4 linked regions of the Astyanax mexicanus genome follow. The protein of the gene in region 3 interacts with the protein of the main gene of each other region in a pairwise test. Links are inferred from orthologs where the notes say so. Each region holds a gene or a part of one and is shown on either strand. Other genes may lie near its edges. The genes, in order: ptpn11a, rabac1, trim32 and ube2v1.

The links.
Region 1: the proteins of trim32 (region 3) and ptpn11a interact in binary tests that used the Homo sapiens proteins (3 or more experiments, as listed by UniProt). The link is inferred for Astyanax mexicanus from reciprocal best matches to the Homo sapiens genes TRIM32 and PTPN11.
Region 2: the proteins of trim32 (region 3) and rabac1 interact in binary tests that used the Homo sapiens proteins (3 or more experiments, as listed by UniProt). The two-hybrid records come from large-scale screens. The link is inferred for Astyanax mexicanus from reciprocal best matches to the Homo sapiens genes TRIM32 and RABAC1.
Region 4: the proteins of trim32 (region 3) and ube2v1 interact in binary tests that used the Homo sapiens proteins (3 or more experiments, as listed by UniProt). The link is inferred for Astyanax mexicanus from reciprocal best matches to the Homo sapiens genes TRIM32 and UBE2V1.

Annotation. Positions count from the first base shown.
Region 1 is NC_064427.1:890,307-897,214, reverse strand, and holds the start of ptpn11a (tyrosine-protein phosphatase non-receptor type 11), read right to left. Parts: upstream 3,012-6,908; 5' UTR 2,760-3,011; coding exon 2,746-2,759; intron 1-2,745. Other genes in the region: tmed2 (transmembrane emp24 domain-containing protein 2), read left to right, coding at 4,192-4,377, 5,238-5,430, 6,069-6,089. UniProt on the Homo sapiens protein: Acts downstream of various receptor and cytoplasmic protein tyrosine kinases to participate in the signal transduction from the cell surface to the nucleus. Positively regulates MAPK signal transduction pathway. Dephosphorylates GAB1, ARHGAP35 and EGFR.
Region 2 is NC_064413.1:5,389,697-5,397,398, reverse strand, and holds the start of rabac1 (prenylated Rab acceptor protein 1), read left to right. Parts: upstream 1-4,680; 5' UTR 4,681-4,794; intron 4,795-6,826; 5' UTR 6,827-6,828; coding exon 6,829-6,899; intron 6,900-7,562; coding exon 7,563-7,702. Other genes in the region: dedd1 (death effector domain-containing 1), read right to left, coding at 1-8, 426-885. UniProt on the Homo sapiens protein: General Rab protein regulator required for vesicle formation from the Golgi complex. May control vesicle docking and fusion by mediating the action of Rab GTPases to the SNARE complexes.
Region 3 is NC_064408.1:6,800,132-6,807,228, forward strand, and holds the start of trim32 (E3 ubiquitin-protein ligase TRIM32), read right to left. Parts: upstream 3,025-7,097; 5' UTR 2,923-3,024; intron 752-2,922; 5' UTR 741-751; coding exon 1-740. UniProt on the Homo sapiens protein: E3 ubiquitin ligase that plays a role in various biological processes including neural stem cell differentiation, innate immunity, inflammatory resonse and autophagy.
Region 4 is NC_064431.1:14,978,288-14,985,900, forward strand, and holds the start of ube2v1 (ubiquitin-conjugating enzyme E2 variant 1), read right to left. Parts: upstream 3,019-7,613; 5' UTR 2,887-3,018; coding exon 2,865-2,886; intron 658-2,864; coding exon 509-657; intron 1-508. UniProt on the Homo sapiens protein: Has no ubiquitin ligase activity on its own. The UBE2V1-UBE2N heterodimer catalyzes the synthesis of non-canonical poly-ubiquitin chains that are linked through Lys-63.

The sequences.
Region 1 (6,908 bases), on a different chromosome or scaffold from region 3:
ATGTTGTGCCAACCTATTTTTTTTTGGTGAACACAACTTTTTTTTCAGCACTGAAATTTTTTAAAAATTACACAATGTTGTGTCAACATTTTTTAAGACGGCGATAACAGACACCTTTTGACGAAGTTGTAACAACATTATAAAAAAGCAACATTGTGACAACATTGTCTGAGGCAATAGAAACAGTATTAAGACACGTGGACAATGTCATACAAATGTTGTGTCAAACTATTGTTATGGCAAAGTAGACAAGGTTTTAACAACATTGCATGTTAAACAGTATCATCTTCCCACACACACCACTGTAAGAAAGTAGGCTTTGTTGTGTCAACACAACATTTTCTCAACACTGAAATGCTTAAATGCAATTCCTCTGAAAGTTGTAACAACATTATCTACAACATTCAAGAATTGGCAACATTATGGCAACATTTTTGATGTTACAATGTAAACAACACCTCTCTTGGACTACAGTAATGTAGCAACATTGCAAGACAGTACACAACGTTGTGACGATGTTGGTTGAGACAACATAAACACCACCAGCTGCTCACAACATTGTAGCAAACTTGTAAAAAAGTAGACAATGTTGTGAGAATATTGTCTGAGACAATGTAAACAACACCAACTTCCCACACCACCACCAAAGTTGTAGGAAAGTAGAAAACATTGCTACAACATTTTTAACACCACCTTTAGACAACATTGCCACACTGTTTTTGAGACCACAAACATTGAAGCAAAGTTGGAAAGTTGCATAAAAAGACGTGCACAAAACATTGTCACAACAACGATATGCAGCTAATTTCTTTTCAGAACGTTCCGACAACATTAGCCGTCTCTCTAACAGCAATCTAGTACTCTTTATAACAACGTTGTGACAAACTTTCTGACAACCAACACATCAGCACCACCTTTTGACAATGTTGTAAGAAAGTTTTAAAAAGGCCTGAACCTGAAGCTTCTGAAACAACGTTTACAACGTTGCCTCAACCATTCAACACAACAGCAAAAAAGTGTGCAACGTTGTGTCAATCTTTTGTTTTGGTGCACACAATGTTGTCACAACATTTATATGCACCTAACTACTTGTCAGTAGGTTAACGTCAGTTATCTTCCTAACTTTCAATGACAACACAAACAGCACCACCTTTTTTTTAAACGTCGTAAGAACGTTGGTAGTTTTATAAAGGCCTGAAAACTTTAACGTTAGTCAACAAAATGAAGCCTTTTCAGTTCAGAGTCTGAAACATCGCATCAAACGAGTAGAAAAGTACTTAACGTTGTCTCGACCTTTCAACACAACTGCAAGAAAGTGTGCAACGTCGTGCCAACCTAACGCTAGTGTTTTGATGCCTAAAACGTTGTCACAACATTGAAATGCAGCTAGCCAACTTCTCAGCTAACTCATTTCTTCTCAGAACGTTTTGACAACGTTAGCTAGCGATATATCGCAATTATAGGAGGCAGTGAGCAAGTTTTAACAACGTTTTGAAAATGTTTAAAGCTTTAAAAAGTCGTAGAAACGTGATAGCGTTCAGTCGTTAGCCAGTTAGCTAGTTAGCTTGTTAGCTGTGTAGTTAGCACTAGCTGTGACGTGTCCCTGAGCACAGAAGCTGTGGTAAAAACGACAAAAACGCGGTGTTTCATTGCTTTATTGGCTGCTTTCTGTGTTTAAATGTTTGTTTAGATTGTGTATGAAATATAATGTTTAATTTTTGAACATTAGCTTAGTTAGCCTTTTTCGCTTAGCTACAATTAGCTGTTTAGCTTTAGCGCACTGCACTGCTAACTAAATAGTTGTAGAAAGTAGGGATCCAGTCCGGTGCCTAATCCAGGTCCGAAAAATGAGAATCCGCTCCGGGATTTGGCGGCTCGCCTGCAGCTCAATTGTTTCCTCAAATTAACAAACTATTGCCTTAATTTAAATAATTGACCAATTAGTTTAACGAATTAATCTCATAGTTTAATAAATTAGTCCATTAGTCCTCACTCTATTGAAAAAATAATAATATTAAATAATCATTATTTCTTTTTTAAAGCTATTTTTTCTCTCATCTAACAAGTTGTTTCATCAGTTTTATAAATAATTTCCTCTATTTAACAAATCATTCTTTCAAAACGTAAATTGTTTTTTTCAAATAATAAATGAATCCATCAGGCAAATACATTTTTTTCTCGTCTTGATAAATTGTTCCGTAATTTTAAGAAATAATCACCTACGTTTAAGAAATAATCCCTGAATTTAATAAACAACTTAATTTAATAAATGGTTAAATAATTTCTTCAATTTAATAAGCTCTTAACAATATGTTTCCCAAGTTTAATGAACCGTTACCATAATTGAATAAATAATTCCCATAATTTAATAAATCACTCATCATTCTCATCATTTATTAAATCATACCAACAATTTATTAAAGAATTCCCATAATTTAATAACTCATTCTCATAATTCAATAAATCAGTCTCTTTGCTGCAGCAGAGCAGCCTAAGCAGCTGAACCGAAATCCCGGAGCGGGTTCTCACTTTCCAGACCTGGATCAGCTAAAACTAAGTAATCGAGCACACAAACCAAGTTTGAAGCGGTTTCCCAGCTTCCTCTCCGCACCAATTGAAACTTTTCCATTTTTGGACTTTGGTTCTGATCCAAACACGTCCTCAGAACCCTTGTCCGAACTCCCAGCTCTCTCCCCGGTTCAGAAACATCTGACACTAGTTTGTTTTTCCTCTCCTCAGCCTCACCTCCGGGATGTCATCTTCCCCAGCCTCGGTTCCGCCGCTCCGCTCCGCTTCCAGTCACTTCACTCTCCGGGCCGACCGCGCCGTGTAGAACCGGGCCCGCTCAGGACGGGTTCGGCACCGTGTTCATCTGCTGGAACCGGATCAGAGGAGCGGCTACAGAGCTCGCTAGGCCTCGGCATCGGAGACCTTTCCAGTCGAGTTGGAGAACGTCACCGAACATGCGACACGGCGGCTCGGCTGGACTGCCCGCGCTCAGCGGCGGCGGCCTCTAGCGGTGCAAACACACGGCGGGGCTCCGTCCCAAATCACAGACCGCACACTCCTCCCCTACTGACTACATAGTGATAGTGATTAGCACGCAATTTGGGATAATGCAGGCAGCACACTTAATTACAGCATGCAAAATATGAAGGTATTTATTTGTATTGCATCTATATTTTAAATACAAATAAGACTCATAAGACATACACGAATTGTAAAATAAAAAACATTAAGATATAACACTGAGATAGATTAGAAATAATACTAATAATAACGAGGTAGAAAAACATATATCTAAAGAATTTAAACTAATGAATGTATGATTGATTTATTAAATTAAGGGAACATTTAATTAAACGAAGAAAACAGCTTGTTAACTTCAATTAAGGGAATTATGTATTAAATAATGGGAATAACTGGTTAAATTGAGAAAATGTTCATTAAACCTAGGAAACATATTATTAAGGGTATATTAAATTGAAGAAATTATTTATGTATTAAATTAAGACAATACTTTATTATATTGAGGGATTATTTCTGAGGGAATTATTTATAAACTGATGGATAATTCCTTAAATTCACAGAACAAAGTTTTAAGATGAGAGAAAAATTAATTTGTCTGCAGGATTAAGTTATTAAACTGAAGGAACAATTTAATAAAATTGGGGAACACTTAATTAAACTGAAGGAATGACTTACGTTTTAAAATGAGATAATTGTTTATTATACAGTATAAAGAAAAATATTTATTAAACTAATGAAACAACTTATTAGCTGAGAGAAAAAATATATGATTAGTAATTATAGGAATAATTCATTAACCTAAGTCAACAATTTATTAAATCGTTGGAGGAAACAATTTATTGAGTGTTTATTAAATGTTTATTATTACATTAAAATCATTTTATTATTTTTTTTATTAAAAGTTAAGATTCATTTAGTTTTTCTCTGAATGTGCTGTTGTAGTTTATATCAGATATCGGTATTAATTAGGTTTGTATTACCGACCGACGAACTGTGTTATTTTAGCTTCGCGTTTCTACGCCGCTCTGTTTGTCCCTCCCCGCTCTCGGTCAGAAGGCTGTACGTGGCAGTCCGGCTGCAGCTCTGTGCTGATCCAGCCCGGCTAAACCAGTTCCCCAGTCCTAGTTCCCCCTGTTCCCGGTTCCCGGTCCCCGCTGGAGGATGTCCCCGGGCCCGGAGCTCGCGCTGCTGCTGCTGCTGGCCGCGCTCGCCGCCTCGGCATCCGGGTACTTTGTTAGTGTGGACGCGCACGCGGAGGAGTGTTTCTATGAGCGCGTGAACTCCGGTACCAAGATGGGCCTGATGTTCGAGGTGGCGGAGGGAGGATTCCTGGATATAGACGTGGAGGTGAGAGAGGGGGGCAGGTAAAGGTGAAACAGGTGGAGGTAAAGGGAGGGAGGTGGAGGAGGTGTTGGAGTCAAAGGTAAGGTAGGTCTTGTTTAGGCAGGTGGAGGTGTAGGAGTTAAAGGTGAGGGCAGGTGGAGGTGTAGGACTTAATGGTAAAGGAGGTTTTTTTTGGCAGGTAGAGGTGGGAGAGGGTGGAGGAGTTAAAGGTGAGGGCAGGTGGAGGTGTAGGAGTTAAAGGTGAGGGTAGGTGGAGGTGTAGGAGTTAAAGGTGAGGGCAGGTGGAGGTGTAGGAGTTAAAGGTGAAGGAGGTCTTGTTTGGCAGGTAGAGGTGGGAGAGGGTGGAGGAGTTAAAGATGAGGGCAGGTGGAGGTGTAGGACTTAATGGTAAAGGAGGTATTTTTTGGCAGGTAGAGGTGGGAGAGGGTGGAGGAGTTAAAGGTGAGGGCAGGTGGAGGTGTAGGAGTCAAAGGTGAGGGAGGTCTTGTTTAGGTATGGTGTAGGTGTAAGCGAGAGACGGTTGTAGGTAAGAAAGAGTGGAGGTAAGAACAGGTAGGGGTGAAAGAAGTGGAGCTAAGTGAGGTGAGAGAAATTGAAAGATGACCGAGGGAGGGTGGATGTGCAGAAGTTGAAGGTGGAGATGAGGAAGAGAGAAGGTGAATCTGAGGTGATGGAGGGTGGAGGTGAGGAAAGGTGGAGGGCAAGTGCAGGTGTAAGAGGTAGAGTAAAGGTGTGCTGTAAAATGTGTACTATAATTTTAGATGTTTGTATTATATCTACATTTTATATCATAAAAGAAAAATTAACCCCTAAAACTTGTGCATGTTTACCTCTCTAAATAATTAATCTAAAATCATCTCCAGATAACTGGACCTGATGGAAAGCAGATATATAAAGGAGACCGTGAGTCCAGTGGGAAGTACTCTGTGGCGGCTCATATGGACGGAACCTACAAGTTCTGCTTCAGTAACAAGATGTCCACCATGACCCCCAAAATCGTCATGTTCACCATCGACATCGGAGAAGCTCCCAAAGGTCAAGACATGGAGACGGAAGGTGGGTTCGTTTTTAGAGAGGGTTCAGTGAGGCTGGGTTAGATATTACCATATTTTTCGGAGTATAGGGACCACCAGATTGTAAGGCGCATTAAGAGACACTAGTAAGGATGCTTACATTGAAGTGAGCAAGTAAACAAAACTATGATTCTTAAAAAAACAAAAAATATATATATATTTAGTTTTAAAGTCAAACATGTTTCTCTTCCGAAAGCTGTTTATTTGGGTGAGTAAATTTATTTACAGTAAGCTAAGAATTCCAATATTTTGTTTAAGGGTGAGTTTTCAGTAAAGTTTCTCCAGCACTAAGGCTGGGTGCAGCAGCATTAGCATTAGCCGCTAACCATATTAAACCATTGGACAGTTAAAAATGTTTTCATTGTTCTTAAAAACTGAAACGTGCAACCACACTGTTTGTTTACAGGTTTCACTGTGTTATTACTTTAGTTATTTTATTTATTTTACGTTATTATTATTATTTTTTTACATTTTTATTTTCAACTCTTAAAAAGTGCTTTAGAAACAAAGCATATGTTATTACTGTCATGATTAAAGAAATATATTTTTTTATGTATTTTATGTAATTTAGTAAATTAAGGTTATTTTCTGTGCCGTAACTCTCACTTCTTCCCTTCTCAGGCGGTGGTGACAGCTGGGATGGTAGGCGTAGGCAGCATAATGAAGCTTATTTTAACGTATACTGTAACGATTAGCTTAACGCTAACTGTTGCCAGGGGTTGGTGTGTGTCTGTTAATTGAAATCAGGGCTGCCTGTGCATCGTGTGAGAACAGCACGGACTAACGGCAGTGTGGTGGTTAAAGAAATTTAAAGGGTTTTAAATATTAAATGTGATCAGTGTAGAAGTGTGGGTAGCAGGTAGAAAAATGACCCAAATCTGATTTTCTCACCAAATCTGATGATTATTTATCTTTTTAATGTGATTTATATCCAACTTTATATTCAAGAGGAAGATGGATGATCACAAGCCATCAAACCACCAAACTGAACTGCTTGAATTTTTACACCAGGAGTAAAGCAGCATAAAGTTATCCAAAAGCAGTGTGTAAGACTGGTGGAAGAGAACATGATGCCAAGATGCATGAAAAAAAAACTGTGATTAAAAACCAGGATTATTCCACCAAATATTGATTATTTCTGAACTCTTAAAACTTTGAGGTCTGAAAGATCTGCATCTTTTTTGTTATTTCAGTCATTTCTCATTTTCTGTAAATAAATGCTCTAAATGAGAATATTTTTATTTGGAATTTGGGAGAAATGTTGTCTGTAGTTTATAGAATAAAACAACAATGTTCATTTTACTCAAACATAAACCTATAAATAGCAAAATCAGAGAAACTGATTCAGAAACTGAAAAGTTTGATGATTTAAGTCACATTATCACAAATTGGACAAATGTTGGTCGAATTTTAATACCACATATTAAAGTGGCCCAATTTGGAATTGAGAAAATCAGATTC
Region 2 (7,702 bases), on a different chromosome or scaffold from region 3:
AGGTGACACTAAGAAAAAGAACGCAGACAAGAGAAAGATGCAAAATCATTTTAGGATTATTAGTGCATTATTATTATTATTATAATACAGGCCTTGGCACTACTTTTTTATATACACATATATACACTACATAGGTGTTTCTGAGTGTTCTTTAATCCTGGTCCTGGCACCCATCTGCCCGGCAAACATTTTAGAGGACTGCCTGCTTTAACATACCCACTGCAACTCTGAAAGAGTTTGTTATAATGAGTTGATTACTTGAATAAGGTGTGTTGGGAGAGGAAAAAGCCAGGGAAATTTGCAGGAAATGGGGCACAAGGAGAAGGACTAAAGAACTCTGCATAATCCAACAAATGCAAACTCGCTCACATAAATGACTGGGATGATAATGGGTGTGGAAAGCATTTATTTGGTCTACTCCTCACCTGTTCTTCTTTTTTTGCTTGAAACGAACGGCAAGAGATCATGTCGTGTAAGAATCCGAAGGAGCTGCAGAAGAGGTTCCAGGTTTCCTTCATGCAAAAATCCACGTCTCTCCATTTCCAGCAACAGTTCCGTGCCACTTTTGGGTCTGTGACGGCCGAAGGCAAGGCAGAAGTCCCCTCGCGGGCATATTCTGCGCCAAGCCTCCAAAAGACGCGGGCAAGGAGAGTTTGAGGGCACATCGGAGTCCGGAGAGACTTCCTCTGTCCATCCCTCTGGATCAAGAGGGTGCCTGCCTGGGTAAGCTTCGTCGAGAAGAAATGATAGCACTTCAACGTCGGATTCTGTTAACTGGGAACCCACAATCTCGAAGACTTCATGAAGAGACAACATGTCATAATAGCTCAGGCAGTCTGTCTCCTCCCAGTGCAGGGAGTATCTCGGGCAGCGGACTGTTGCCATGATTAGCTGGTTACCAACAAGTGTCTGCAAGTTTCTGCAACAGAGAAACATGTTAATAATAATAATAATAATAATAATAATAATAATAATAATAATAATAATAATAATAAATAACATTAATAATATTAATATTAAAAATAATAACAATATGCAACATAATCGTGTATAGGTCCTACGATTCTGCAAAATTTTGTGTTTCTATGTCAAAAGCTGTGGGAGGAGTAGGGTTACAAAAAGGGTGCAATAATAATAATAATATTAATAATAATCATAATACGAAGAACAGCATGTAAATAAAAACATAATAAACACATACACACACCAAACACAAACTCCACCACTTAAGGTAGAACTGAAAATGTAAAATATCATGCTGTATGACTGCAAGAGGAAACTTCTCTTAAGCAGATGACACGTCAAAATACGACTCATGGACCAAACATGCCCAGTCTTCCGCACTGCCGGTGTTCTGTCGAGTCGCGATACCCATCAAAACGTGCTACTTAAAGGTTCTGCGCATGCGTTAATTCTCTTTTTTTCTATTTTCACGTGTTTTCCTGATAATGATGTTTTTCTTGGGATTTTTTTGCTTAAGTTAGATATTTTTTTTACAATAAAAATATAATAAACAATAACTATAAAACAGATTCTAATCACATATATTTGCCAAGACTTTAAACGCGAGAATGATGTATTTTTCGTAATGTTTACCTTTAAATACACTAGGGTAGCATGTTTTGACAAGGTGGCACAAAATGACAGAACACCGGGTTACATCACGGTTCTAGTGCACGTGTACAAATTGCGTAATGTCACGTTTCAGCTGTCACTTGTAACAGCTGTAGCTAAAGTTGCTTCTAAACACAACACTTAACTCAAAATTACCTCGCGTTTCAGCGTTTTGGAGCGAAATAAAAGCGGACGAGTTCATGCAAGTCGGGCTACAAAGCTATCCGCGCGACCTGCTGTGTCAGCAGTGCTGTATTCACTTTGATTACGGTACAAACTCATATGTATGTTAAGCTTAAAGCGTATATAACACTTCTTAATTTTATTAGTAATACAACAATACAACAATAAAAATTGACAGAGCCACAGCAACGCTTATTTTTGAAGTCAAAAGACAAATTAACTTTTATTTATTTTATTTATATAAAATGTATTCACCTTTTTCTTTCTGTCTCACACTCGCGTTGTCATGCACACAAACACACACAGCGGACTGCATATTTTCACTCAAGCTGTTGAGTGTGGAATATGGAGCTACACTAGTGTTAATTTTCTCCATTCAAAATCACATTTACACTAAGTAACTCAGCATATTACAATAGTCTATTCTACACTGAGATATTATTATACAGTAACAAAAATGGACACAGTTTGCCAGGTGTTTATCACCATACACCATTATTTTTGCCCCTTCCCAAAAATACAGTTAAGTACCAGCATTAAAAAAAAAATCATGATTTTATCCACGATTTAGTCACACAATATTGTTGTGATTAATACAATTATTTTAGGGGTTGGCACCAATAATACAAATCTGAGTGTTTCTAACATTGATTACTTTATTCACATGTGAATACCCATTATGAGGCTGTGTGATTTATAAAGATTAATCTTAAAATTCTATTGTAAATAATTCGATTAATATTTTAAATGAGGGTTTGAAGTTCTTATATGATATAACCTAGCTTAGCTAGCTAACCTAGTAACGAACTAACTAACTAACTATACAATAAAATAACTAGCAAGGAACAGGTAACTTACCATCAGTTCCATGCTAGCTAGTAGGACAGGGTGACATTTAAAAAATACTAATTTTGATATTTTCCAAATATATAATCGATTTTCAGTTATTATTTAGATTTTAACATCAGTTTTCACTTAATGTGATAAGTAAGCTATTGTTTCCTTTACATTTCGTTTATTTTTTATTTTAGGAAATAGTAAACAACCCCCTTCAACCTTCCTTTAACATTAGCTTTTTTTATTTAGCTTTTATATACACGGTGCAAGCATAGTCCTTGTATTTCAGTTAAGGAAAAGTGTACAGTAAAATAGTTTTTTTTCTGACAGAAGCAACTGTCTATCTACTGAGATTATCTCTGGTAACGATAGCTCATATGTGTAAGTATGTATAAAATAGTAACTTAGTTAAGATAATTCGATTATTCATATTAATTCAAATAATCTCCCAGCCCTACTAACTGGCTAGGTTAGGTAAGTTAATTAATTACCCAGCTAGCCTAGCTATGTAACGTTACTGTAGTATTTGGCTAATGCTAACGATATATTACACACTAACTTGACTATTAGGAGCAGTTCCATGAATTTAGTTAAACTAGCTAGTATTTTTAAGCGATAATTCTCATATTTTTACAGTTTCCAGCAACACTCCTCATTCGAGAACATTCCGTTTTTCGGTTTTACATCGGGAATTTCCGGCCTGTCAGGCTTTATAATCGAACTGTTTAGACAAAGTCGGTTATTTTAGATTCCTTTGAGTTATTATTGCATGTTTATTAATGGAAATTATCAACAAAACCGACGACAGTTCTCTAAATAGAAGGTTTACCGAGGTTAAGGGATATCAATAAGGCCCCTGTGGACTAAGCTAGTTACGCTAGCCAGCTACACTTCGCCTGACACTTCTGCCTGCCTTAGCTTAGCAACAGAAAAACAACCCTAACCAGCGCAGCCGTCGACGGACCACACAAAAATACCGATTATCAACACTAAATATACACTAATATTAAAGTTCACCCCTCTTTATTCGGTACAGAAATGATATAAACCTTATTTTACCACACTTACTTAGGTCAAAGCAAGAGGACGCCCACGGTCAGCTTTCTCAAAACATCCCTTCACTAGCTTAGCTACAACGGGGCATACAGAATAACAACACCGAACAGCCAATCACAGCGCGCACAGCACACGCACCGTGACGTCCCACACACCGCGACCAATCACAGAGCGCTCTGCACCTTTACATGTGTTATTTTTCAATATTTTTATTGTATTTAATTTTTCGCTGATAATAATTGATGATGTACAGTATGTATACAGTACTAGTCAAACGTTTGGACAAACATTTTCTCTTTCAGTGTGTTTTAGTTATTTTTTATAATAATTACAAAACACTAGACTGTTCTAATAGTAAAGCTGAGCTGCAGTAATCAATAAAAATTTGCAGACTTTACTGTTTTTAAAAATATCTAAATATGTGTGGACGGGCCTGAATGAATACCATCTTTGAGGGCTATGTCTTATACAAAGCCCTGCATGTATTTGGCCAAATTTTTAAATTTTATTAAATTTTAAGAATGGGTTTCAGACTAAAAATCTTAACATAATTTTTAATACACTTGAAAAATTTTGTAAATGTAATAGTTTGCTTTTTTAATGTATATACATATTGTGTACACCTTAATGCTAGTGGGGAAAAAAACTACACACTTTGCTTTTACCAAATTGAAAAACTCTAAAATATAACCAAGAAGAAGATGGATGATCATGAAACTATCAAACCTTCAAACTAAGCTGAACTGCTTGAATTTGTGCACCAGGAGTTGCATAAATTTATCCAAAAACAGTGTGTAAGACTGGTGGAGGAGAACATGCCAACATGCATAAAAAAGTGGTCTCTCAATGTTTTACAGAACTGTATATTTTCTATCAAGACAAAGTATAATATAAAGCGTATTGCTTAAAATACATTTGATGGAAATACAGAGAAAGTATATTTAATGTATATTTTCGTAAAGTATAGTAGGCAACACTACTTATACACAGGTACTTACCGCAGATGGCAGTGTTCAGTATACTATACTCACTGTTATAGTAGAAGAAGCAGCAGCTCCACATCATCTGCCAGCAGAGCACAATATAAACAGGACCAACATTACAGTAAGAAGCGATTTTCTCTGCATTCTGTACGATTTAAAACCATTTTAATGTGTAAGTTATATATTCTTATAAACTACTTGCGTGTATAGTTATCTATTACATGCCCAGCTTTTATTGTGTAATATTACAGGGTGTAGAGCTAGTAACGTTAAGCAAGTTAGTTATTAGCTTAGCCTCGGTGGTTTAACGCAAAACTAATCTAAAAAAAAAAAACAGTAAAAAAAAAAAAGTTTAATTTTAGTTAATTTGGTAAATTAGTGACTTAAAATAGTCTTAAAAAATTGTAAAATTGTATTTTTGCCTTTCTTATACGGTTCTAAAGGGCTGGGCATGAAGTGACAAAGATTTTCCATTAGCACACGTAGACGTGGGTAAGCCAGGTCCAGAAAGTAAAGATCCAACCCAGGGTTTTCCACCAACTGCAGAGCCGCACAGGCCGTCGGTGCAAAACCATGGGTTGGGTTTTCACTTTCTGGACCTGGGTTACCCACCTCTAGACACGAGCTAACCAGTTAGTAGTTCGACTTGTCCATCTTAAATGGGGCAGGAGTTAACGTTACATTCAGGCGTCTACATTTGAGGTGGAACGGCACATTTATTTTGCAAATATTTTTAATTATCTTGCCTTTTCCTCCTGTTTTAAAATTAGGCATATAAAAGCAGCTAGCAAATAATAAAAAAAAACAAAAAATAAAATAAAAAAAATCTTATTTTACCTGTGTAATTTTATATTTTGTATATATGCTACTAGAGTTAAAGTAGAAATACACAATATTTTGACAAGCAGACAAAACAGAAAAAGCTGTGAAAAAATCTGTGATTCTGCTATTCAAATACTTTTTATTCAGTACAGTGATTTTTTATTAATTTCTTTGTGGCATATGTAATTAAAGAATATAATTAAATTTAAATGTATCTATATTTATGTATAACCCAGCAATAACGTAGTGTACGTTCAACAGGTTAAAATAAGCTTAAAACAAAAGCTGTGTATTGTTCCTTGAATGGTCAGCTTCCTTTGTGCTTCCTTTATTTTAATTTAATTATTTTTATTTCATTTTTTTGCACAATGTAACATCAAGAAATTATTTTTGCATAATGTAGTGGAGTAAAATGTAAATTTAAAATCGTAGTGGATAGAAGTTAAAAGTGACCCAAAATGGAAATATTTAAGTACCCACTAATTCTAGAGACACAGCCAAGAGCATGTAATATTAAAGCTGTCAACTAAATTAGGACTTTCTCTTGTTCTCTTAGTTGTGTACTTTCCAGCGGGCTAAGGTGCTGCCACTATGATCGGGAGATTGCTGGTTCGAATCTCGTTAATGTAGCTTGCCATCAGCTGCTGGAGTCCTGAGAGAGCACAATTGGCCTTGCTCTTTCTGGGCGGGTAGATGGCGCTCTCTCCCCACATCACTCCAAAGAGTGATGTCAATCAGCACAAGGCGTCTTCTGTGATCTGATGTATCAGAACCGAGTCACTGCGCTTTCCACTTTGAGTGTGAATTGTGTGGATAAAAGTTGCCTACTAACAAGGCTACAGATGTTTACCAAAAAAAGATAGTCCTCATATAACGGAGAATAAAACTGTTAAAGGTATATGTGATATATAACATTTGTTATATTAATATTCGTAATTAAAATACAATATGTATCCATATATTTGCACTTTAAAGCCGCATTAAAAGCTTGTTGGTCATTTTTAGGAACCTAATGACGTATTTATGATCTCTCAGACCGGTCAAACAAGATTCTTTGCATTCTTTCACAAACCCTGAAAGCTGAATATGGGGTGAGAGGTTTCCATTGACACACCCTTTCTAGCTTTTTATTTAAGGTTATTGAGAAATAGAGGTTGGTGGCCAAGATGTTCTACATTATGAGGTATTGTCTTTCATCTCTCTATGAGACTGTAGCAGGTCCAGTTATATAAGAATACATTTGCATCATGTCTAATTGTGTAAAGTCTGTGTAGGCATTTTACGGTAAGATAAGTATATTTGTTTCTTTTTCTTGGTGTGTTTGATTTTAGAAATGGATTCGAAATTGAGTGACCCCTTCAGCAGCGATTCAGAGGAGCTGCCCGCAGCAGGAATAATGAGCAGGTGAGAAAAATCAGAGTTTAAATGTTTTTGTAGGGATGTATTTCTTAAGCAGTTAGGGATGCCCTAGACTTATGTTTTTTATATGAACCAGCAGCCAAACATGCTTTTCTGCACCCTCTACTGGTGACAGTAGAGGTTTTCTTTACGTGTGTATGTGTGTGTGTGTGTATATATATATTATTCATTTTTGTTTTTATCCAATTAAAAATTTACTAATCTAAAAAATAAATCAACAGATTAATATATTTAGGTAAAAAGCGAAAGTAATGGAAGCAGTTACAAAAACTCACTGTAGCAACAAAATCTAAATATTTGCCAGAATTTGCCCCATTTAAACCTGTGATTACCAGCATTTTGAAAATAAAGTCCCTATGCTCTGTAGGCCACACCCCACATTTAAAGCCTGATTGGACAGCACAGGGGATTTAAACAGCTTGTGTTAATAGTGCAGTTCAGGGACTTATTGGTCTCTGACCTTTATCTTCTACAGAAGAGAAAAATGGGTTGCCAGGTCTCAGGAAGAGATACTGATCATATAAACCCAGTGTTGTGTGGTAACCTGAAATACTGGTTCTTTTCTAATGGTGGTGGTTGTTGTTTTTGCATATTGTAAAAGCGTACCTAACAGATGATGCACGTCGCTCTGTCTTCCTACAATGTCAGGCTGCTGCCCAAAGGCATGTCCGGTAGCATGATGAAGGAATGGCTGGACCGCCGGAGAAAGTCCATCCGCCCCTGGGCCGGCTTCGTGGATCAGCGCAAGTTCTCCAAGCCCAAGAACTTTGGGGAGCTGTGTCAGCGAG
Region 3 (7,097 bases):
GTCTGCTTGATCCTCATGGTGAGGTAGTCGCATCGGGACACCACTTGCACCTCTGCAATGTTCAGAAGGTATGTCTGCTCTTCCAGAATCTGAGCGTTGAGTTTCTCCACCTCAGCCATGGAGGCGGCGAAGGCACGGCGCGAGCGGCCCAGCTCCTCCTGAAGCCGGAGCTCCGCCCTGGAATACTCCTGCTGCACGGCCTTGTACTTGAGACGTAGAGACTTGGACACATTATCTATGGCTGCCTTCTTCTTCTGAATGTTGGCCATGGCCTCTCGCAGGTTGGTCAGCTTCACCCCAAGGTCCTTCCTGCGCTGCTCAGCGGCCGTGCGGATGGTCTGCACGCTGTGACCCTGATGCTGATGTCCTTCGCACTTGCAAGCGTCGCACAGCACCACGCCGCACTCGCAGCAATACTGCCGCGGCAGGCGATTCTTGCAGGACTTGCACATGAGGCCGGCTGCAGAGCTGCAGGTGCTGGCGCAGTCTATGATCTTTAGCACCGTGAGGTTGTCAGCAAGCTGGGAGATGCTACTCATGCGGGAAACCTTGCTGCAAAACGGGCAGCGCACCCCGTTTATGGTGCTGGCCAGGAGCTTCTCGAGGCACTGCCGGCACACCGAGTGTCCACACTGCAGGAGCTTGGGTCGGAGCTGGTCCTGATTGTACGTCTCCAGGCAGATGGGGCACTCCAGCACCTCCCGCACCAGGTCTGGGTCCAGGCATGTCGGAGTGGCCATGATGCATCTCACTAACGGAGGTGTTCACAGAGAGGAGAGACAAGAAGAAGAGAACCAAGTGAGTCATTTAGAGTACAGTGCAGTACAGCAGAGAATTATGTAATATGATGATGTGATGAGTGAGCAAGTATAGCAGGCGTTACGCTAATTACGGTTAGCTCATGCGGGCGAAGCAAGGCAGGGCATTGTATTCCTTGGTCCAACCACTTAGCCCTAACCCTTTGTTTTGCGCTTGCACACCTAGGGGTAGGGTGTCTCGATTTTTGGTAGGTTATAAGGGTAGGTTAGGTTAGGGGAAGTTTTAAGGCTACATGATCCTTTAAGTTGAACATTTTCCTATATATCTTTACGGTCTCACCTTATCCCCTTCAGACCTTGCGCCCAATGCATTACAATTACAACATTAAACAAGCAAATCAAAAATTTACATTAACTTAGCCCCGCCCACTGCAGCAGAAAAAAAAACCCCAGCAACTCAAGATATAAGTGCATGTCAGCACAACAGCCAACAAAGCAAAGTAAGAGTTAAATTTTACTATTTTTTACGTGATTTAGAAACACTTTTATGATGTTCATGTTACTGTGTATGGATGATTTGTGTACAAAGTACAAAGGTCAATATCAAATCTAACATTAAAAATGTAAAACACATTTTAAGGCATCCAATGCAATGGACATTAAAAAAGAGCAATCAAATATATTTTAGTTAATGGGACAATTAGGGTCGTCTTTTGTGTGATTGAACAAAAGACGACAGAAAACAGCATTCTTATAGTTTTCACTGGAACTTAATTCAGGTCTGAAAGAGTTAAAGGTTGCAACACAGGCAGAGGCTGCAGTATTTAAGGTGGAATGGAACGGAAAAATAAAATAAAAGCGAATAAAAGCTAAATTTAGCTCCCAATCAGAGAGGAATTAAGGAATAGATAATAATAATTAATTCTAAGACATACACTAAAGCCCTAAATGCTAATTCTAATTCTTAGGGGGAGGATTTTATCCCTTTTAGTTGGAACTCTGCTTCAAGGAAAAGGGTTACAAAAGAAAAATGGGATTGAACCGTAGGGCGTTTTCACAACAGCACTCTTTGGTCGGGTTAAAACAGACTCTGATTGTTTTTTACTCGAACGAACGGATCCCAAACTCTGGAGCGATTTGTTTGTGGTGAGAACGTGATCAGGCCTTGATTTGACCCAGTTGTCAAATATACTCTTTTATTTTTTTATATAAAATGCTGATAATAGTATACTGCTATGAACGAATGCTATTCGCAATTCTGTTTACTATGTGAACATCTGCACGGCACGTCACATTTAAAACAATGCGTTTTAAAACGTAGCGTTTCAACATTAAGTGCACAGAATATTTTCACTATATTTACTTTGAAGGTGGTTATCTCCAATCACACCCAGGGAAACCAAAGTGAAACCAAACCAAACAGAGGGAGAAACCCTTCAAATAAAACTGATTCTGATCATAGAAACCATAAAAACTACAGGTGCGAAAACACCCTTAGTCTTGTTTTGCAGTATTTATTAATTTATGAGACCCAACATGCACGTGAGACAGGTGTTCCCCTGAGCTATTGGCAGGCACTGTAGTATTGCTAGTATTGTTATTCTTCCTTTAGACATAGAAAACACAGCATTTTTTATTTTTTGTCAAATTTAAAGCTTTTTAAGACTGTGAAAAGATCAGGAATACTTGTTTTGACGTCTCCAAATCTATACCTAGTGTATTCCCTATTGACTTTGTTGATTTTGCATGCAATAACATCACCACATTAGCTTCCTTAGCCAGCTAGCCAGCTCTATATTAACTAGCTAGCTAACTAGCTCTATCTTTATCTTTTGCTTTATATAATATAATCACGAGCCAACATTTGCAATATTCCGCAGCATGCATTGCAGATATTGCACATACTGCAGCAATATCAGCACCAAACAAACAAACAGGATGCATTAGACGTCCAGCATTGCACAGATGTTGCTGTGCACCTGGCAGCCATGCTAAAGGCTCGAGCTAAGGCCCAGTGCAGAGGCAGAGGGCTGCACCCTGTGTCTATGTGTGCGCGCGTGGCAGCGGTGTATATGCAGTGCAGTGCAGTGCAGTGGTGTATATGGTATATGCTGGTATATGCTGTGAGTGGGTGAGCGCGCTGTCCGCGTGCGGTACCGCTTACCTCAATGTCAGCCTGACTGCGGGTCTCTCCACCGCCGCTCGCTGCGTGCGTGCCTGCGCGAGCGACACTGCGGAGCGCTGACGTCGTCAGTGGCGGCCGTCCCCCACTGCGATCTGATTGGTGGAGAGACAGACAGCCTTCCTCAGCTCTGATTGGCTGAGAGAAATGTCTGTCACTTATGTCAACAAAAAATAAGACATATTTGTATAAATATGATGTCAAATTTAATTTAAACATTTTTATTATTGATCTTAAACATTACTACTACTACTACTACTACTACTAATAATAATAATAATAATAATAATAATACTAATAATACTAATAATACTAATAATAATTATTATTATGATTTATTTTTTTCATTTTTATTATTATTATTATTATTATTATTATTATTATTATTATTATTATTAATACTACTACTACTACTACTACTACTAATAATAATAATAATGTATATCTTAATGTTTTGTTATTTAACAATAAAATATTTTATTGATTTATTGTAAAAAAAAAAAAGATATGTATAAAGGTTTTTATTTAAACATTTTTATTATTGATCCTATACTGTACCACTACTAGTCACAAAATAATCTTAAACTCCTAGTATAATCACCTTCAGACAGCCTGTCGCTGTTATAGTTTGTTTATTTTTTATTTTATTTTTAGTTTTAGTTTGTTTTTAGTTAACTTTTTGAATTTTGTGTCGTTTAACCTCTTGTCTTTATTGTTTCTTTGATTTATTTTACTTATTTTACACACATATATATATATATATATATATATATATATATATATATATATATATATATATATATATATATATATATATATATATATATATTATTATTATTATTATTGTTATTATTTTATTATTATTATTCATCTGTAACTGCAGTCTTATAATTTTTTATCACCTGTAATTTTACCTATGATTTTATTATTCTTACTAAATTCTTAATTTTATTATTATTTGTAGAATAGTGGTGTTTATTATCTTATAGTAATGCCATTTACTGTAGAGTAATTGTACTTTACACTACATTATTTTTTTAAATCTTAAATATTTATCTATTATTTATATTAATCTTATTTAAATCCAAAATTTAAGTTTGATGAGAACAAAGCCCAGTTTCCCCATATCCTCCTCTGATCAGTTCTCCTGCTGGTGTTCTGTTTTTAATGCAGTTCCAGCTCAGACCACCAGATGGAAGCAAAAGTCCACTCATGGTGTATCAGAATAGAGCAGATAGTGAACTGGAGAAGTGAACACAGGTGCACAGCAGTGTAGGTATATGCACAAACATTTAATATGATTTAATTTAGACGCCATAAACAGGATGTAGTGGGCGGAGCTTGTGTTGTGTACAGTACACTGAAAAAAATGAGTAAAATTGACTTTAAAAAAGTTTTGCAACTTTCTGCATTTGCTTTTTTTTAAGTAAATTTAATTTCAGATAAATTTAAGTAACTTCAACTCGGTTTCAAGACTTAAATGTTACACAGAGTAAATAAGTGAACTGAACTTCAGTCAATCCTTTCTGTTAGTAAACTTTACTTCATTTATTTTTACTGAATCAATCCTTTCTTTTAGTAAACTTTACTTCATTTATTTTTACTGAATCAATCCTTTCTTTTAGTAAACTTTACTCCATTTATTTTTACTGAATCAATCCTTTCTTTTAGTAAACTTTACTCCATTTATTTTTACTGAATCAATCCTTTCTTTTAGTAAACTTTACTTCATTTATTTATACTGAATCAATCCTTTCTTTTAGTAAACTTTACTCCATTTATTTTTACTGAATCAATCCTTTCTTTTAGTAAACTTTACTCCATTTATTTTTACTGAATCAATCCTTTCTTTTAGTAAACTTTACTTCATTTATTTTTACTGAATCAATCCTTTCTTTTAGTAAACTTTACTTCATTTATTTTTACTGAATCAATCCTTTCTTTTAGTAAACTTTACTTCATTTATTTTTACTGAATCAATCCTTTCTTTAAGTAAACTTTACTTCATTTATTTTTACTGAATCAATCCTTTCTTTTAGTAAACTTTACTTCATTTATTTTTACTGAATCAATCCTTTCTTTTAGTAAACTTTACTTCATTTATTTTTACTGAATCAATCCTTTCTATTAGTAAACTTTACTTCATTTATTTTTACTGAATCAATCCTTTCTTTTAGTTGCAGAAAGTTGCAAAACTTAAAGTAAAGTAAATTTTATGCTTAATTGTTTCAGAGTAAAGTTAAAAGTAAGTGCTATTAGTGAATATAAAGTAACTATTGTAGTAGAGAAGTGGGCGGAGCTTCTGGACACGGTGGAAGTAGGGGTTTCCACAACCGTTTTGTACATTGAGGGGACGTTTGCAGTTGTTTTCTCACATTTTCATTCCTCGTTTCCATGGATGATTTAATAAAATTGGTTCTTCTATGGTCATCCATCACTGAAAGAACTCTTCGTAGCTCCTTTACTATAATTATTTCTAAAGGTTCAGAGATTGCCACGTCCTGATTTTAGCCTCCAGACCCACCGCAGACCCGGCCGAGCCGGAGCGAATAGGATGATGGATGGACGGATGGATGATTCTGGACTTTGCTCGGTTCACAAGTCAAACTCTGACCGGATCAGTCCTGAAACTCCCGTCTCAGGAGCTTCTGTTTATTATTATTCTGAACATTTTTCCCTAAATAAGAACCTTTCCCAAAGAACAGAATGCACGTGTGGTCAGCCTGACGTATGCGATTAGTAAATGCCGCAGGCCTCGATCAATCAAACGCCCTCACGGTGATGACAGCTCCATTGTGAGTCTGGGTGCATTCGGGGGGAATGTTCCTTAGGCTGACCGGCCCGAGTTCTGGAGCTGGAGCTGGGAGATTTGCCCCACACTGAAAAAAATAAATCTGAGCGTTAGTAAATGTAACGTAATTAAATCTGTGTTATTAACAACAAAGAAATATGTTTCTATATTTACATGAATATATCTAGTTTTTAATTACTCCACATTTGTTCAAAATACCAGATATTGTGTATTTTTTCTTTAATATAATTTATTTATGTAATCCCAACAAATCTTTTTAGGTACACAACAAATCTGCACAACAAACACAAGTCTTGTTATATTTACTCGGGTTTTAGTCACTACCTGTGTCAATGCTCTTTCTACAGTGTTGGTTCATGCAGCTTTCCTATAGGCTCCTGTAACCATATATTTGCATATTGGGTGTGGCCTCTCTCTCTTACTCACCATCTTTGTGTTGTCTGTTGCCCAAAGCTACCTTATCCTGGGCGTGCAGTAATTATAATGTGGCAAGAGGAGTAAATAAATAAATGTTTATTAAATAAATAGTGCACGACTACGCCACCTAGAGGGAATTTCCCTCTTAGGAAATACAAGAACACACAGGCCCAAGACACTTGGAGAACAGAGACGTAGTTTCCAAATTAAAACAAGTTTTATTAACAATTATCAAGAAAAGATTATACACACCCAGAATCACAAAAGAAATATATATATATATTACAACTGAGGGCTTACCAGGACAGCAGGACAAAAAAAAAAAAAAAAATCACCTACACACACACATACCACTGCACACGAGCACACACCCACAATTACGAAAAAAAAAAAAAGAAAATCCCAACCGAGGCAGAAAAGAACTAGCACACCAAACACAAAATATTAAGAAATTAAGGTAAGGCTTCCAACTGACCAAAGTAATCCTCCAAAGAGAATAACCCCATAAAATAAACCCACACTCAAAAAAAGTATACAAAACAAAATAGAAACCCAATTAGAGAAAAGAGCTCCAAAGAAAAGAAAACCCAAATTAACTCAAATTCCAACACAAAAAAGTTAGACACAGAAAAAAAAGATCAATTAGATTAATCAAAAATATAGAAGACAAAATACCAAATTAGACACAAAACAACCCCAAAAGGCAAAATTAAGAAACTAAAAGACAAAAACTGAATATCACAAAAAATGAAAATCAATACGAAAACACAAACTTAATTAGCCAAAATAAATCAAAACAAAAAAAACAACAAAAAAAAACTAAATCAAAGCAAAACAAATAAGCCAAAGCAAAAACGAATTAATTAATTTAAATAATTAATTAATTAATTAATCAAAATTAATCCAAACAGAAAACTACAATAATATA
Region 4 (7,613 bases), on a different chromosome or scaffold from region 3:
ATAGTAAAAAGTATCAGTGTGCTTTTGCTACCTTTCCTGCAAAACCACATATATTCATTCTAAAGGTCTCTCAACAACAGTTATTGGTGATTATCAGAGTTACTAACTGCAGAGGCTGTGTTAAAAGTTAAAACCCACGTTATGATGGTAGCAGGCTGCTGATACCAGATCAGTGTACATGGGGATATTCGAATAGCAAACTTAATAATAATCTGCTCATTAACACATTGCTAAACAAAGGAAAGGCAGAAATCGAAATAAAATGAGAGCTGGTAGGCAAACAGAACGGGCAATTGATTCCTTGTTAAAATCACCAGATTTATTCACTGTGACAAGAGACGGCAACACAATCTTTGCTTTAAAAGTATTATTTAAGTGCAGTGCATTAGTAAAATGTAAAGGAGAAAAACAAGCTGACCCCAACATAACCAAATATAATTCAGTTCAGAATGTTGGAAGTACTTTAGCTGGTCGCACAGATGTCTGATTATTCTGCAGTAACACTCACCCTGGGAGGTCCAATGATCATGCCTCTCCAGCGTGTGAGTGTCATGTCCTCATCGTCCTCCAGACCCCAACTCACTGTTCCATCACCAACGCCCTTCTGGCCTTCTTCCAGCTCTTCCAGCAGCCGGAAGTTACGAGGAACTTTGACGCCTAAAATGATAAAAAAGCAAAAAGTTATTACATTAATAATTATGAATACACAGTATACTTGACACTGTTTCACCCAAGTTTGAGAAGATTCTGAATCCAAAAATGTGTTTTTAAAATAACATATCATTAAAATGGTGGAGGAATACATATGCTATAAAAAAGTAGTCCCTAAAAATGTTTCAGTGCTGTGCACTGAAACTCATCCCAATTGTCCCAAAAGCTTAAACAAAGGTACATAGAGACAAGCCTAATAAGGACGATCACCAACTTAGATGGTAAATGAAAGCATATGTCTAAACCTCACTCACATAGAAAATTGTTACAGCAAACAATAGCGATGAAAACACATCCCACACTACAATGTTCACAAAATGCATATCACTAAAACAGTACAGGTATGAAGGGGGTAGTGTGGCAAAAAAATAGTCCTGTGGTTTGGATTTGTTTAGATTCCTGCTGCAGTGAATTTAAGCACCACTGCTGAGAATCAAGATTAGAGGGGGGTCACGAAAACATCCTGGAGGTTTGGTTTAGTCCTGCAGTGCAGCTCAGACTAGCTCATCTGCATGCACTGCAGACTGACTGCCAAATTAGTCTGCAGAAACTCACAATACCTTTCAATACCAATAACACCTCCACATACATGAGATTAGTGCATGAGTGCATGCTGTGCTGGTACCAGTGGATCAGATACAGCAATGCTGTTGGAGTTTTTAAACTGTGTTCACTCACTGTCCTCAACTCTGTCAGACACTCCTACCAATCTGCTACAATATATACAACACACACCAACACCTCATACACCACCACCATCACCACCACCATGCCAATGTCATTGCACCCAAATAATAGTGCCTTTATTGATATCTCTCATCAAATAGTCTATTTTGCAATCAAAAGTATTTAAACTAGGGCTGCAACAATTAGTCAATATAATCAATTTATGTTTTTTTAATTGATAGACCAACATAAATGAGCAAATTATACACAATTTTCAAAATCATGCAATCAAATAAAAATCGGAAAAGTGCAAAGAGTAGAAGTATTTAGCCTCCCTATATCAATACTGAGCCACATTCTACAGCAATTACAGCAGCAGTCTTCTGGGTACGTCTCTACTAGCTTTGTGCACCAAGAGACTGAGATTTTTGTAATTCTTTTTTGCAAAATAGCTTAATCTCAGCCAGGTTGGATAGAGAGCGTCTGTATTTTCATGTCTTGCCACAGAAGCTCAATGGGATTTAGGTCAGGACTTTGACTGGACTGTTCTAACACATGAATATTCTTTGATCTAAACCATTCCACTGTAGCTCTGGCTGTATGTTTAGGGTCATTGTCTTGATAGAAGGTTTCAAGTCTTTTGCGGCCTTGAAAAGGTTTTCTAAATTTTCGTTCCACTACTTTGTGTTGGTCTATCACTTAATATCTCAATAAATTACATTATAGTTTGTGTTTAGAAGATAACACAACGTGAAAAAGTTCAAGGGGAATTAATACTTTTGCAAGCAACGGGACCTCCATCAGCCGTTCACAGTGCATCAATCTGAATTTCTACAGATCAACTAACTAGTGTATGTATTTGCTTTCCCTGTGCATCCATCAATCAATCAATCATTCAATCGGTCAATCAATCAATCAATCAATCAATATATTCATCAGCTCCAGTCATACAACTCTTGCCATCTCACAAACCGGCCCACCCTCCTGCTCCCTGATCCTAATCAATAATAAACGGATAAATCCTGATAATGATGATAAATCTCTGGAGTTTAATCAGCTCTTTCTAATATATTGATCAGGGCGGGCTGGAGCGCGCGCGCGCAGGTGTGCTGCTGTTTCCGAGAAGCTTCCAGTTCTTTCCGCGTCATCGCGCTGCAGCCACGCGAGCTCGCGAGCCGGTCCACGCCCCACTCCCCCCAACCTCCCCCTCACCCCGCTCCCCCTAAAACACCGAGTTTACAGCGAACAGCGCGTGAAAGCGGCCCAACGGAACAGGTTAAGCCTTGCGCGCGGCGGCAGCGGTAAAATCCCGATCTCAGCCCCGCCGCCTCGCGCCCACGGACCCGCGCGCTGAGCCTCCCCGCAGGAACCCGCGTCGCCAGACCGGCGGGTTCGCTCCGCGCGCAGCTCCGGTGCGGCTCCGGTTCGGGTTTGATTCTGCGAGTCCGCCCGGATTAAACCTACGTTTAGCTTCTGAGTCGGTTTACCTGATCCGGCGGCCGCCGCCATCTTGTCGCTGAGCAGCGGGAGCGCGCACGCTCCGTATTCTTCTCGGGCACGCGGCGGATGAGGGCGCGTTCACGCGTATAGCGCGCCTCCCTCAGTCCTGATTCACTCTGGGTCTGTCCCAATATCCGCCGCGCCCTGCCTCTCCCCCTACTGCCTACACTCACTGCAATATAATAATAATAATAATAATAATAATAATAATAATAATAATAATAATAATAATAATAATAATAATAATAATAATAATTAAATAAAAATAATAATTAATAATAAATAATTGTTTATCAAAACCACCAATAACAGGCCACAATGAGGTATTTAATAGAGCATGAACAAAAAGGCAGTAATGATAACATTACAAGTTACAAATACAATGAAAATAATAATATTTGTATTATTAATAATAATAATAATAATAATAATAATAATAATAATATTGAATCGCCAACCCAAAACAAAACCTTACCTCATCTCTTCCTCCCACCAGGACTGACACTGTTTTTGCAAACAGCACATAAATAATAATTACGAGCATAATGCAGTAAATTGATCACTCTGGGACACTGTTAGCATTTACTTAATTTTATTTAATTATCATTTAATTGTTTATTTGAATAATAATCATAATTATTATTTTATTATTATTATTGTAGTTGTTAATGCCAGTAATTCACATTTATATAAATAAATGTTTTGCTTAGCAAGAAACCAATTTTACCCACTTCAATACTATATATCAATATACTGCAATAAATATATTTACAGTGGTTTAAAAATGTTTTTTTTTTTTTGCATGTTTGTCACTCTTAAATGTTTCAGATTATTAAACAAATTCAAATATTAGTTAAAAATGCAGTTTATGAATGAAGGTTTTCATTATTAAGGGAGAAAAGAAATCCAAACCTACATTACCCTGTGTGGAAAAGTGTTTGTCCCCCAGTTGAAACATAACTGTGGTTTATCACACCTGAGTTCAATTTCTCTTGCCATACCCAGTAGACCAAAAGATTCTCAAAAGTTAGACATCGTTTTTGAAGGTGTGTTTCCCATTACATCTGGTGTAACACCATATTATACAGTAAAACGTGTTGGTGGGTGTAGTGTAATGGTCTGTGTCTGTTTTGCTGCTTCAGGACCTGGACGAATTGCTGTGGTAAATAAAACCATGTAGTCTGCTGTCAACCAAAAATTCTTGAAGGAGAGTGTTCGTCCATCTGTTCAAGACCTCAAGCTGAAACGAACTTGGGTTCTGCAGCAGGACAATGTCTAATGTCTCTAATTTTTAGTCCATATTTGATGTATTGGCTTGATTAGCTGCACGGTAAATAAAGTTCACCTTCAGTGAAGGTTAATTGTAAACAATTATAAACAATTATTGTAAACAACAGTCCCCGTGACTGTTGAAATTAATAAATAATTAAAGTAAATGTATGTATGTGTGCAGTATATTCCAGCAGGACTGCAGCTTCATTATCGATGATCATTATATGATGAGTTTCTGCCCCCTGCTGGGCTCCAGCGGTACAACAGGAACCGGAAACACACGGTCAGCCGAAACACATCCACATTAATAAATTAAAATAATCCCCCACAGGAAAAATACACACTAATATTAATATTTTATGCTTGGGTTAGCATGTTCTGCTGCTCTAACACTCTATATCTCCTATAGTTCAGTTAATTTTTTAATAGTTAACAATTGCAGTCTTATGATTCATATCTCCACTTATTGTAGAAAATTAGAAGACACCCACACAGAGCTGTATTACAAAACAGCCTTGAATTATAATTTATTGCACATCCACTGAAAATGACAACATACAATGGAAGAAGACCCATCCTGAACAAACTAGATTACAAGCAAAAAAAAAAAAAAACACAACAACCCCAAAACAAAATTAAAACAAACAAAAACTAATTCAATTAAATTACAATATTGATTTTGTGTTCTTTCCCTTAAATTGTCTTCACCACAGCTTAATGTTACAAAATGATTCCGGCATGGCGGGAGGAGTGACGGCCGGCGGTTTGGAGTGAGCCGGCTAGTTTCTGCATAGGCTTTGAGAAACTCAATGTTTTTTATTATACAAGGATTTTACAGTAGAGAAAGACCTGGAGACCAAATAAAATCTCAGAATTTAAAGAATAACTGGATGCAAATGTGTCACTAGATAAAAGCTAACAGTTCATGCTGTTCTGATGTTGCATGTTAGCACATTAGCCTTTTAGAAAAAAAAAAAGGAAAAAAATGTTCTTTCTATGTTAAACATTTTTGGTCAGTTTAATGTTCATCAGTTTAGTCTTCCAATTTTCTAGGAAAAATGAGAAAACAAATCTTCTTGCAATTTCTGAAATTATTTAGATTTTTTTGCATCTTATAACAAGTTCAGTTAAATTTTCTGACTGTATATTTTGTATAAAAATAGGTTTTCCTCCATCAGGCAATTTTTAAGAAATAAAAATAAAATTGGATGATTGAAACCCCAGTTTACTGTCTTCAAATTTAGACTCGGTCAGAAAATTTAACTGAAATGTTACACGGTCCTGTCTCTGGTTGTAAACAAGCTAAATTATAGTATAATGCAGTAATAAAATAATATTATTATAACCAATGTTCCTTTCTCTAAAAGCAAAGTGAATTATAAAAAGGCCAACATACACAATTCAGATATTAATACCTGAGAACCACAAACAAATCAAGTACATTAGTCAAAATATGGCACTGAAAAAAAAAAATTGCTCCAGAAATATCAGGTCAAAGCGTAGCTACAGTTCCTTACGGGCTTCTATCTATAGTCTACAGTCTATATCGTTTATAGAGTCTGATATTATTATTGCTGTAAATCTTCTTAAGTTAATGTGTCTATTACGTTTACGAGAAAAGCATGACAGATTAATGCTGAAGTATTCTGGAAAAAAACAAAACAAGAAAAATTAAATATAAATATACAAACTATATTAACTTTTACTTAAATGACATAATAAAATGAAGAGAATTGGTGGTTTGGTTTTCCTTCACTACAAATCAATCAAAGCAATGAATGTGCACTTAAAACAGAAAAACAAAGCCCCAGTAGAATTTTAGTTTGAGAGTTTGAACCAAAATTAAAGATACAAATGCAAAAGACAATAATGAAAAAAAAAATACAATCTCACCCAATTTTTCACACTGCATCACTTTCATCAGTTGAGATTACAGGATGAAAATAATAATTATAATTATAATAATACCGGTAATAATAATAATAACAGTATTTACAGAGTAGCTGTACGTTAGTTGTTAGTACAGTGTCGTTATTAACATGCAGTCCTAAAACTAGATCTTTTTAATGGATACATTACAAACCCTTTCACCATTCTTTGATTCCCCTTTTACATTTTTTTTGTAGATTTTTTTTGCATATAAAAAGACCCCGCCCCTTCTTTCTGCTCACCACAACCAAAACAAAGAAAGAAACAAAAAACATCTGTAATTAAACCATTTTGATTGCTCACAAAATTTCGTTCACAGATATTGAACCGACTGATTACTGATGTTCAAAATTCAGAATATTAAAAACAACTTTATATTACAGAAATGAACAGCAGGTATGAGTGTATATGGCTTTCTTTAGCACACGCACGCGCACACGCACACGCGCACACACACACACACACACACACACACACACACACACACACACACACACACACAGACACACACACACAGACATGCACGCATACAGAGAGAGAAGAAATCAGTAGTTTAATTGTTGAACAGTGTGGGTGAGTCAGCAGTCACAATAATACAAATATTTATAAAAATTATGAACATATGAACACAATGATAGTAATTATACCACAAAGGGCAGCATCTGAAATAATCGTCAATGATCTCTTTAATCATCTGTATATTTAGAGTTTTGAACGAGCATTCTTGTATTTCTTTAGTTTTTGTGTATTAACATGACCCACAATGCAAATGTTGTCACTTAATTGATATTAGCACAGGGAAATGACGTTTTAATGATGAGGCAGACTATTCTGAATAGGCCTGTCACAATAGCTTTATATGGACGGTGTATTAATATACTCACAAATAATTGAGAAAAACAGTATTATTGTCATTTTAGGATTTGTCAAGATCTGTCATTTTATCATGTCATCATATAATGATAATAAAACAGCATAATCTTGCAATTACAGCCTTTTTTAGGAGCGCTGAACCAACTCTACTGCTTTACAACAAAACACTTATTTGTTTTGTTTATTAATAATTCTATATGTTTTTCTTCATAGTTTGGATGACAGTAATATTAATCTACAATGCAGATTTGTATTGAATATATATAACCTCTCTCTCTATTCACAATAATGGGCTGTCCTTGTTTATATAAATTATGTTTTGATATTGTACCAAACGTAATTATTGTGACAGGCCTAATTAAGATGCAATGTAATAAAAATAAAAGCTTAAAATGAATATACACGTCCTGCAACAGTGTTTAAACAGAGTCAACCTGCTGTAAATCTATTAAAATAAATAAATAAATAATGCATTTTATAGCGGATTAAACGCTTTAAAGGTGTCGACACATTAAACGCACAGTCTCATTAAATGTATGACATATTTGGGTCTCACTATCTAGATTGCTTAAAAAAAAAAGAAGAAAAATAAGAAAATAAGATTATAGATTTCCCCTTATAGTCAGACTGGTGCACGACGTAGGCGAGGAGAGACATAAGGC